3 linked regions of the Callithrix jacchus genome follow. Each later gene encodes a partner of the first gene's protein in a complex. Links are inferred from orthologs where the notes say so. Each region holds a gene or a part of one and is shown in the gene's direction. Other genes may lie near its edges.

Evidence for each region. Proteins that work in one complex are often made in the same cells at the same time.
Region 2: SNRPF (region 1) and GEMIN2 share a complex: the UniProt entries of both Homo sapiens proteins name them as parts of the SMN-Sm complex. The link is inferred for Callithrix jacchus from reciprocal best matches to the Homo sapiens genes SNRPF and GEMIN2.
Region 3: SNRPF (region 1) and RBM48 share a complex: the UniProt entries of both Homo sapiens proteins name them as parts of the minor spliceosome. The link is inferred for Callithrix jacchus from reciprocal best matches to the Homo sapiens genes SNRPF and RBM48.

What each region holds. Positions count from the first base shown.
Region 1 is NC_133510.1:98,938,592-98,943,402, forward strand, and holds the start of SNRPF (small nuclear ribonucleoprotein F), read left to right. Parts: upstream 1-1,825; 5' UTR 1,826-1,954; coding exon 1,955-1,957; intron 1,958-3,890; coding exon 3,891-4,016; intron 4,017-4,811. UniProt on the Homo sapiens protein: Plays a role in pre-mRNA splicing as a core component of the spliceosomal U1, U2, U4 and U5 small nuclear ribonucleoproteins (snRNPs), the building blocks of the spliceosome.
Region 2 is NC_133509.1:73,783,014-73,787,028, forward strand, and holds part of GEMIN2 (gem-associated protein 2), read left to right. Parts: intron 1-482; coding exon 483-572; intron 573-1,005; coding exon 1,006-1,065; intron 1,066-4,015. UniProt on the Homo sapiens protein: The SMN complex catalyzes the assembly of small nuclear ribonucleoproteins (snRNPs), the building blocks of the spliceosome, and thereby plays an important role in the splicing of cellular pre-mRNAs.
Region 3 is NC_133512.1:57,086,851-57,090,137, reverse strand, and holds part of RBM48 (RNA-binding protein 48), read left to right. Parts: intron 1-195; coding exon 196-341; intron 342-2,192; coding exon 2,193-2,761; intron 2,762-3,287. UniProt on the Homo sapiens protein: As a component of the minor spliceosome, involved in the splicing of U12-type introns in pre-mRNAs.

The sequences.
Region 1 (4,811 bases):
GACAGCTACCCTCAACCAGTAGCAGTTACCTGCTGGGCCTGCTTCCTCATCTCTAAAACAGGGCTGTCACCCCGAATCAGACGGTGTGGTAAGATTTCCACAATTGTTAAAAGAGCCTGACACATAGTAGGAACCCAAAGTCTATACAAAGACTTAACATTCATGAAACAATAGGCAAACTAAAGGAGAAATCCACTGAAGTTTAGGGTGAATACCTTCTGATAACCTGTTTGGTAAAAACTACACTGAAAATCACTGTCTTGTCAGTGTTCAACATTTATGTGAATAATAATATTTAACGTCTACTGAGCCTTTACAAGGCCAAGCCCCAGCCAGGCTGAGATGGTTCCGTTTTTGAAGCTGCATTCCTGCCCAGGAAACAATGGCCCTCAGTGGTTCAGACACTGCTTAAAACCGGCGATAGAGGCAAGTTCGAATGCAGTCCCTCTCCAAAGTCTTACCCACTGCTCCACAATGCCTCAATACCAAACATTTCACACTCAATTCCAAATCCATCTCTTCAGGGCTGCAAAAAAGCCTCACTTCCCAAAGGGCGAGTTCTCCAAACACTGCATTTAGCATTTCGGATCCGGGTGAGTTGAACTCACTAGGATTACGAGAAAAACTAGTGAAATTCAGATACGACCATTAACATCGAAAGTTTTAATCCGTGAAATACTGCTTACGCCCTTAAGTAATTTCAAATGCACATAAGATGGCCATGCGGGTCTCTGCTGGAGATGCAAAAGAAAGGTGAGCAAACTTAATCAATTATGGCTTTCAGATTTTAGTTAATGGAGGAAATAGCAAGTTTCCACTTGTCATAATTACAGGCATCACTATCATTCTATCATTATTCTAGCACTAATGAAAGACCTCAAGAACATATAAAGCAGCAGTAAAGGGTGCTAAGAAATGACAGTGTGGTCACGTCAACTTGCCCCATGTTACATCCAGGGTGTCAGGGTTCAAACCAGGTCTGTCTGGCTCTAGAACAATTGTTCTCTGCTACCTCCAAATCCTGTGTATATGTTTTCACTAAACTATTTTGTTGTTTATAGATCTGAATTGGAAGCTGTTGAGTACCCTGAACTTAGCAACTAACTGATATAAAGGTATCCCTTATAGAAATCTCAAACTAATTCTTCATTCCTTTCAGGAAGAAGAGTCTTAAGAATATGCATTATAAAACATGTTTCAATAAAGTTATTGAAAAAGAAAAAGAAAGGTGGGAAGTTGGCGGGGGGGCATAACACTGTATACTAGACGCAACCTGACATCGTTTGAAAGAAATTCTGTCCCCTACTCCCTTCGGTGAGATTCGCCGTCCCTAATCTAGTCTGGCTACCCCACACTCCCGATTCCTTTAAAAGGGGTTGAAATGGATGTTGCATTAAAGAAAACCCTCCTGCAGAAAGGACCTGAGGCAGAGACTCCCCTGAATTCTGGAACATGTTGGAAGAGTGAGAAAGGAACTCTGGGACTCCGAACTTATTCTCACGGGTGTAAAAGGACAGAGTAAATCCCCATTAGCCAAGCTGGGGAGAAGTCACATCCGCACATTCTAAAGGGCACACAGCCTCTCCCGGACCGTCCCTAGAAGAGGGGCAGCACATTTAGAAACACTGGCGGGCCTCTAGTCCTTGGCTGCCTCGCGGCGACCCTCAGAGCGGGTTTCCCAAGGCTCAAGCTCCTCTGGCAAGGCGCAAATCGACACCACTGCTGGTTGCTAGGAGATACTGCCCCGCCACCTCCTCCAATCAGCACGCATCTCTTTGCGTCCAATCACAAAGGCCAGAAGGGCCGTGGTGGGAGGTGAAAGGTCATACTCTTGTTTGGCGGCCATTTCTCTTGAAGCTCGGCGGTTCGGGACTTCGGGATCGGCTGGAGTCACGAGGGACGAGCGGCGGCCTGGTTGGCAGCGAATAGCCTGCAGCATTCGCCCGTGGTTACGATGGTAAGGAGAAAGAGAACCGGGGGAGAAGCGGGGAGAAAGAGGAGGGAAACCAGTCTCGCGGGGCCTGATGGTTGCTTCGCGCGTTTCTCATTCATCCGCGTGAGGCGCCGCGCACCCGGTCGCCAGCTCCTTTCACGCTGCCCTTGGGGTTTCTGAGGCGCGTGCTCCTCCCGTTGCCTTTCTGTTTCTAGGAGTGCCCGTGCTGTCTCCTCTTTGTTTGAATCCGAGCCTGGGGTATTTTTGGTTGGGGCTTCAGGGTCGGCGTAAAACTGAAAGAGAGTGCACTTCTCACTTCTCTCCAAAATTCACTTTAATTCCTTGAAAGTAATATTACAGCCATGCTCTAGATTAACTCAGTCGGGTGGGGAAGACAGACCTTAGTCAAAAACCAACAAATATGCAATTGCAAATAACAAGTGCTAAGAAGCATGTAGACCGGAGGCTGTGAGGGTGCACGTTAGACATTACAGGCTTAGTCAGAGATGGCCTCCCTAGGAGGTGGAATTTAACCAGAGACCTAAGTGTCCTGAAATACCACCCTTTAAAGAGCAGGAGGAGTGTACCGAGCACAGGGAATAGGAGCGTAAGACCTGCAGCCGGAAAGAAAGCTTGGTCAGTTGGAGAAATTGACAGAAAGGTACAGCCACTTGCAAGAATGGTGGCTTCTAATTCAATTAGAAGCCATTGAATCATTTTAAGCAGACATATGACATAATTTTATGTGCACTTTGAAAAATAACAGTTGCCGTGGTGGATAATAAATTGGAGAATGTAAACTGGAGATCCATTAGGTTATTGGAGTAGCACCATGCCAAGATCACTCCCAATATGCTTATCTTAGTTTAGTAGCCAAGTTTCTTAGTTCTGTTTTTTCTTTGACTGGTGAGTGAGCAGATTAGGGCCCAAAAAAGTCTGAATTCACTGGAGATGCTAATGGTTTGTTGAATAAACAAACATTAAGTGATTGCTGTAAAGTCAGATAGGACCTAGCCCTACCTTCCACAGTTAAAGACTGTCAAGTGTGATCTGCCCTCTGCTTCCTTCTGCAGTCTTATATTAGGGGCTTTGACTGACAATGCTGAATTCTTTGTATATCCCCAAAATCATGTTGTTCTCTTCCCTCCTTTTACTTAAGTTGCTACCCTTGCCTGGAGCAGCATCTGCCCCCCCCCCGGAAATAAACTCTTATCCTTTAAAACTGAGATATTACTTAAGGCAACCTTTCCTTTTCTGTGGATTGCTGTGGTACCCTTGTGCCTAGCATATCTCCTCTTACTACATTGCAGTATGCAATATAATTATTTGTATGTGAGGAGCTCCCCTCCCTATCTCCAGCTTCTTGACAGGGACTGTTACTTGTTTATTTATTTTTAAGAGACAAAGTGTTGCTCTTGCCCAGGCTGGAGTGCAGTGGCTTGATCATAGCTCACTGCAGCCTTGAACTCCTGGGTTCAAGCAGTTCCCCCACCTTATCCTCCCTAGTAGCTGGGACTACAAGTGTGTACCATCACACCTAATTATTTTTGGTAGGAATTGGGGGGGGTCTCCCTATGTTGCCTGGGTTGGTCTTGAACTCCTGGCTTCAGGTGATTTCCGTGCCTTGGCCTTCCAGAGTGCTGGAATTACAGACACGTGCCTGGCCAGCATTTTTTTTTTTTTAGTGGCTTTATCTTTGCTTCTTTCAAGCTCAGAACAGTGAGTGATGTAGGTAGTCAGTGTTATCTTAAGTGAATAGTGAGTATTTTGTTTTGATGGGTTAAAGGTGAAACTGGCTAACTGGATATTTAAATTTCCCTGGTACTCATCTTCAACAAATAAAAGTGAAAATTATGTTTTCTTCATTTGCACACCAGAAAATATTGGTGATTTGGTAGAAGGGATTTGGTGGTGGGAGGAAAAGAATTAATTGGATCCTTTTTTGTTCTTTGTGCAGAGTTTACCCCTTAATCCCAAACCTTTCCTCAATGGACTAACAGGAAAGCCAGTGATGGTGAAACTTAAGTGGGGGATGGAGTACAAGGGCTACCTGGTATCTGTAGATGGCTACATGAACATGCAGGTAAGCTGTAAAGGTTATAACATGGCATTGATTTTGCTTCACCTTATTCCTCAAAGGTTTAGTCTGACTAATAAGAATACATACAATTAAGTTGACAAATATATGGCAAAATTCAAAAATAAAGTCAAGGCCAGAGAGGATACCGTGATGTACTAGGTACAAGACATGGGCTTAAACCGGAATTCAGCCACAGATTTTATTCCTAGGAGTTAAAGTAAGAAGAGCTCAGACGTTCAATTCATAATAATACCATAAGGGAAACACGCTACTTTGCTGGAGAAAACAAAACTTTTACCATCATTTAGCCCTGAAAGAAAGTTTTCAAGTGAAATTTTTGAGTCTTTTAATGAATGCTAAAGGTACAACACCAAGCTATTAAAGAAATTCATTCCTTCAAGGGAAAGACAGATCTGCCAAAGGAATTGAACTGACTGTATGTCAGTTTCTGTAAATGATTTAGCCATGTGTTTTGGTAGGGTTTTTTGTAATTTTCTTTTTATTGTGGTCAAACATACATTAAAATTTTACCATTCTAACCATTTTTAAATGTGTAATTCAGTGGCATTAAGTATCTTCACACTGTTCTGCAACCATCACCACTATCCATTTCCAGAACTTTTTTTATCATCCCAAAGTGAAATTCTTTGCCCATTAAACAATAATTTTCCATTCCTTTCTCTACCTAACTAACCCCTGGTAACCACTATTCTACGTGTCTATGAACTGTGCATAATACCTCATATAAGTGGAATCGTATATTTATCCTTTTGTGTCTGGCTTGTTTTACTTAGCGTA
Region 2 (4,015 bases), on another chromosome or scaffold:
GGATATAAATAAATAGAAAAGTGAAATGTCTACTTTTTTACATCTGTAAGAAATATTTTCTTTCTTTCTTTTTTTTTTTTTTTTGCAACGGAATTTTGCTCTTGTTGCCCAGGCTGCGTGAAGTGGCATGATCTCAGTTCACTGCAGCCTCCACCTGCTGGGTTCAAACAATTCTCCTGCCTCAGCCTCCCTAGTAGCTGGGATTATAGGCACCCGCCACTATACCAGCTAACTTTTTGTAGAGACGGGGTTTCACTATGTTGGCCAGACTAGTCTCAAACTCCTGACCTCAGGCGATCCACTTGCCTCAGCCTCCCAAAGTGATGGAATACAGGCATCAGCCACTGCACCCGGCTGTATTTTATTTTTCTTGTCTAACCTTTATTATACACTTTATCTTGGTTTTACTTTTGCTTTGCAAAAGCATGAGATTCTAGTTTTGACACTAATATTAATCCTAGTATTTGTGACCTGATCTCTAGCTTTCAGGATGCCAACCCGCCCCTGAAGGTTATTCACCAACACTTCAGTGGCAACAGCAACAAGTGGCACAGTTTTCAACTGTTCGACAGGTAAAGTGTCATATTTAATCTAATTAAGCCCCTGTTGGATTTATTTCTATTCCTAGACTGTAGATAGAAAAATAAAATTTATGATCCTAAAGTATACAGAATATTCATGAATTACCAAGTTATTATAATTGTTAGACATAATACAGTTTGAAACATTGTATAAGTTTTATTTATTTTGTTTATTTCAATAGTTTTGGGGAACAGGTGAGTTTTGGTTACATGGTTGAGTTCTTTTGTAGTGATTTCTGAGCTTTTGGTGCACTCATCACCCAAGCAGTGTACTCTTTACCCAATAAGTAGACTTTTATACTTCACCCCCTCCCACCCTTCCCATTTTCCAAGTTTTAGATGGTTAAAATTTTGTGCAGAAACTGATTTCTTTTCAGTTACCCATTTTTTGAAGAGTACTAACGTATAACTTTTCTTCCTTTAGAATGTGAACAAACATAGAAGTCACTGGAAATCACAACAGTTGGATAGTAATGTGACCATGGTATGTAAGTTTCTCAGTTTTAAGTTGTACAATATATACTTGATTGAAAGAAACTACATTTACTTGCAGTCTTTAAAGATTCACTTCCTATTCAGTGTTATTTTCATTCTTTTCAATATACCATTAATAGTAGCAATTCCATTACATTAGTAGCCTGAAAAGTATAGATTTTCATGACAGTTTTTTTTTTTTTTGAGACAGGGTCTTGCTGTATCTCCCAGGGTGAAGTGCAGTTGCACAATCACAGCTTGCTGCAGCCTCAACCTCCTGGGCTCAAGTGATCCTCCCACCTCAGCCTCCCAAGTAGCGTAAACTAAAGGCACATACCACCATGCCCATCTAATTTTTAAAATATTTTGTAGAGGCGGGGTCTCCCTTTATTATCCAGGCTGGTCTCTTACTCCTGGGCTCAAGAGATCCTCCTGCCTTAGCCTCCCAGAGTGCTAGATTACAAGCATCAGCTACTGTACCCAGCCTTTCATGTCAATTTTAATTCACAATATCTTGGGGGACTTTGGATAGGTGACTGTTAAGCTTCTACAAGTTTTTAAGGATTCTTCTAGGCATTTACTTTCTAGGAAATTAATACATTTTTAATATTTATAAAAAGATTTAATAAAGACTTAATGGATTTTCTTGATGAGGTGATAGTACCATGCAGTAAACCCACACATTTACAGAACTTGTAAATGATTCTGCTTCTACTTAATGTGATGAGTCTGCATCACAATTCCAGTGACATATAAGTAAAGCCTGTCTTGTATACTGTCATGCATATGTCCTACATTTTATCTTTAAATATAATTTTAAGCTCTTCACTAGATATATCAGGACTACCAAATGAAAAAAGGAGTTGGAAAGATGATACATTGTCTCAGGACAGTAGTTTTTAACCTTTTAGGGGATTTCGTATTTTTTTCTGAGGACCTAATGAAAGCTCTTTATCTTCAGAGGGGAAAAAATGCACCTATGCACAAAATTTTAGTTTCAGGTAGTTCATAGATTTCAGATTTTAGAAGCTTCCTGTAGACAGTGCTTCTTGATATCTTTTACGGGGTGATGCATTAGAATAAATGACTGCTTGCATATTCTTCCTGAAACCAGCCGAAAGCTGAGAGATTCAGTATATGGCATCTCTCTATTCTTCTGCATACCATTTGGAAGCTCTGCTCCAGGAAAAGTGTTAAGGGAAGTAACTTATCACTTGCCAAAGGACATTTAACTCATAAAAGGTATAGCTAGTCCTTCTATCAAAGAAGCATGTGCACATACACACACAAAAAGTATGCTTAGGGTTCAAACTCAAGGCTGTCTCTAAAGCCTTTGTGCCTTTGACTATGTAATGGTGCCTTCCTAGTCAGAAGGGTATATGTATGTAGTAGGGACTGGGACAGGTAGGTAAATATATTTTTTTCTTACTCAGTGGAACGGCTTTTGGGTGCATGCCCACTAATTAAAAAAGAAGCCACGGCCAGGCAAGGTGGCTCACACCTGTAATCCCAGCACTTTGAGAGGCTGAGGCAGGAGGATCCGGAGGTCAAGAGATTGAGACCATCCTGGCCAATATAGTGAAATCTTGTCTCTACTAAAAGTTCAAAAATTAGCCAGGCATGATGGCGCACACCTGTAGTCCCAGCTACTCGGGAGGCTGAGGCAACAGAATCACTTGAACCCGGGAGGCAGAGGTTGCAGTGAGCTGAGATCATGCACTCCAGCCTGGTGACAGAGCAAGACTCTGACTCAAAAAAAAAAAAAAAGCCACGTCAGTAATATGACTTGATAAAATTTTGTCAAAAATGGAAATTACCTAACATAATTGATTCAATAAACTATGGCCCATCAGAACAGTGGAATATTATGTAGCAATTATAGATGTTTATCATGGCAAATGTAAACATCATACACATAATAAAATGAAAATATTTTAAAGTACACTCTGGGCCAGGCACGATGGCTCATGCCTGTAATCCCAGCACTTGGGGAGGCTAAAGCAGGCCCATCACCTGTACTCAGGAGTTTAAGACCAGCCTAGACAACATGGCAAAACCCCATTTCTATTTAAATTATTTAAAAAATAAATAAAGTACACTCTGATGGAAACTGTGTGAAAACATAAATATTAATTGATCCAATAATTTATTAAGCAGGTATTATATTTAATAATCAGGATATTTAGTACTAACTGAAACAGAAACAACTTCTGACCTAATGGAATGATAGGAAAAGATAGATACTTTGTTCCAAGACAATAGGGTTTAACTTTTTAGTGTCTCATGATCATCCTGAGGTTTTGTTTTATTTTATTTTATTTTGAGATGGGGTTTCACTCTTATTGCCCCGACTGGAGTGCAATGGCATGATCTCGGCTCATTGTAACCTCTGCCTCCCAGGTTCAAGCAATCAGCCTCAGCCTCCCGAATAGCTGGAATTAGACGCGCCCACCACTGTACCTGGCTAATTTTGTATTTTTAGTAGAGATGAGGTGTCACCATATTGGCCAGGCTGGTCTCGAACTCCTGACCTCAGGTGATCCATGCTGAGGATTTAATGAAAGCTATTTATTCCCGGGGAGGGGGGAATGTACCAATGCAGAGTAATGTGCAAGGTGATAGGTACAAATAAAAGTTGTTTTGTTAAGGAGATTATATTGAGCTGAATGCTTCTCCCAACTAGTCCTGCTTTTTCTGTCTGGCAGCAGAGAGTAGATCTGTTTCTTCTTGGATTGGACAGCCCTTCAAACATGTCAAATATGTAATCATGTCTCTGTATATGAGATAAACATCCTTCATTCCATTAAGCATTCTTGGTGCATTTTTTCCCCCGTACTTGTTTCTGTCTTTATCATTCTCTTTTGGACACACCCTTATCTGTCAGTGTCCATTAGTCTGGTCCAAACTAAACACATCTTAGCTGGGCACAGTGGCTCACACTTGTATCCCAGCACTTTGGG
Region 3 (3,287 bases), on another chromosome or scaffold:
AGAGTACATACTGGATGGGTGGTATGAATACCATCCACAAACAGAGCATCTTGATTCCCAGTCCACAGGATATATACATACACATTGCAAAAGCTGGACTTTGGCTTTAGCTCCAGGTATTGTATACTAGTTAAGCTCTCATTTGTAAGTAAATCTGGATTTAAAAAAACCATGCTATCTTGTATTTCCATTCAGGACAGCCAAGAGAAAAATGGATGAACAGAGTTTTTTCGGTGGATTGCTTCATGTGTGCTATGCTCCAGAATTTGAAACAGTTGAAGAAACTAGAAAAAAACTAGCAGTGCGAAAGGCATATGTAGTAAGAACTACTAAAAATAGAGGTATGGAAAGCATATTGCTAAATGCCTTCTGTGTGTCAGGCACTCTGCCAAGTGTGTCATCATGCAGTTCCCAGTCTAGTGGGAAGAGAGGCAAGTAAATCATCACAGTATTCAGTAAGTGTAAACCACAGAGTTCTCTGCAGCGTACTACATAATCTGGGTTGAGAAGGGAGAAATATTGGTTCATAGAAGACTTCATCCAGTCTGTTAGAAGTGGCTGAATTTTGAAGGATAAGTAGACATTACTTAGAAGGGAGAGGAAAAGATGGAAAGGCAAGCCAGGCAGGATGTTTAAATGCTTAGAGGAATAAATGAGCATCATGTATTTAAGAAACTTTAACTCATACAATATAATCAAAGCCCAGAGGTTTCAGTGACAGATAAGTTTAGAATAGTGGATAGGAAGTAAATCACGAAGGGCCTTGTGTCCCTGCTAAGGAATTAAGGCTTTGACCAGAATGCAGTGGGCAGTTGTGATTTGCAGACTAATTGTCACTGCTAATCGTGGAGAAGTTCTACTTTTGACCAAGCAACCGCATAAATGCCCCACATGCCCCTTCTACCAGATAGTGGTAGAGAGAAATAAAGTGAGAAAACTCTTGGAAAACTTACTCAGAAATCTGGCAAGAGAGCTGTTGAGAATCCCCAGTCATTTGTAGACATTAATTTGTAAGATATGTAAATAGCACCAGGAAAATTTGTATATTTGTGTGGCAAAGGAAATTATAAAATATACAAAAAAAAAAAAAAAATAGAAAACGGAAAGGAAATTATAAAATATTAGTGTGGAGGAAGACCTTTGACATTATCTGACCTGTGTCCTACTTCTTGGTGAGGAAGCTGAGTCTCAGAGTTTGTGACTGGCCTATATTACTAGAGATAAATTAAGGACAAAAATAAGGATTAAAACCCAAGCTTTGGACTCCCTGTCCAGAGCTTACTTTTAAACTGCTTTAATCATCTCAATGTTAGTGGTGGCCTAGCATTATCTTCATTATTTGCTCCCCTTACCCTTAAGACCTTTTTGCCCTGCCCCCTCGGAATTAGATTCATTGTTGTTAAACTATGACTTTTTTGGCCTTGAACACTTTAGTTAAGCTCTATTTTATCTGCAGCATTCTAGCATCTACACATAATTGTATATTTGGTCTTTTCAAAAACTTCTATTAATGAAATTTCAAAACACACAGGTAGAAAAACTAAGATAACATACCTCCCGTGTATTAACATTAACTATCATCAACAGATAGCCAATTTCATCTTTACCACATCTTCCGCACCCCACTGATGTTTTAGTCTGCTTTTGGGAGAGTAAACCAGGGAAGAGGTCCTTTCCAGCCCTAGAAGTAAGCCACACATATTGCTTTCTTTAATAACTAACAAACACAGGCTAGGCAGCATGACTGGAATACTCTGAAATTGCAAAAAAAAAGGATTGTATATAATGATATGGAAAAACTATATAAGATCTACAGTGAAGTGGAAAATACAGAGGTGCAGAAGAAGTACATATTACAGGTTACCTTTTTTAGTGGGGAGAAAAAGAATGGGAGGTAGGAGGAAGCAAAGTAAGGCATATTGAACAGATAAATAAAGAACAATAGCGCTTACTTATGGGATGAAACCAGGCCCATGGAGAGCAAGGAAAGGGTGACACTTGATGCTACATATCTTTTTATCCATTTTAGGTTTTAAACCACATGAATATATTCCCTTCTCAAGAAATAGATTTTTTGGTGTAGAATTTGTTACCATTTTTAAGTGATTTTTAAAATTATATGATTCTGAATGATGCAAACAATAAACTACCTCTGTTTTCCTTTCTCTCACCTTTTAAATTGTAATAAAAAGACCATTATGTGACAAAGAAGAAATTGGTTACAGAGCATAAAGACACAGAGGATTTTAGACAAGACTTCCACTCAGAGATGTCTGGATTTTGTACAACTGCTCTGAACACTTCTGCAGGGAACTCATATCCTTATCTTCCATATTCCTGTGAATTGCCTTTATGTTATTTCTCCTCAAAATGTATGTGTTCATCTGGGAAGCATGTAGATAGAGCATCAAACTCCTCTGAGTATGGTAGAAACCATGATAAAACAATGGAGCATTATAACCACAGTGACTCTTTGCAGAAAACACAGATAAACCCTTTCAAAAACTCAGTAGACTGCCAGGGTGCACGAAAGGCTATTATTCCTTCAGAGGCAGTTGACAGATTTATGCCTAGGACAACACAACTGCAGGAGCGCAAAAGAAGACGAGAAGATGATCGTAAACTTGGAACTTTTCTTGAAACAAACCCAAGTAGTAATGAGGTTATGATTGGACCTCTGTTACCAGACATATCTAAAGTGGATATGCATGATGACTCATTGAATACAACGGCAAATTTAATTCGGAATAAACTTAAAGAGGTAAGGTTATTTTTTAAAAAAAAAACTGTTCTAAGAGACGATTTGGTTACAGGACTAACTAAATGGAGAATTATTTGTGGGAACAATAGTAATTTTTTTTTCACCTTTTAGTTTTTTGACGTGTTTTTCTACGGTTCTCTGTTGAAATAATTGAATTTGGCTCACATTTTTATTTGCTTTGATACTGTTAAGACTTGCTTAAACAATGAACATTTTATGTCACTGTAGATACAAAATATTAAAGCAGTGGTTTCAGCCATTTAAATCAATCTCTGAGAGTGGAGCCCAGACCTGCCATTTTTGTTAAAAGCTCCTTAGATAGTTCTAATATGAGCCAGAGTTAAGAAGGAAAAGTATTATAAATTATTTCTCTCAAAGTTAGAGTTATTACATTTATATAAAATTCAAAATGCTTAATTTGCTTTTGTGATAAAGAGCAATAGGTGATGAGATTTCTAAAAATTGGGCCTCCAGGTATGCATTTCAAATATAGACTTCTCAAATGATTAGGACCAGATTGTGCTGC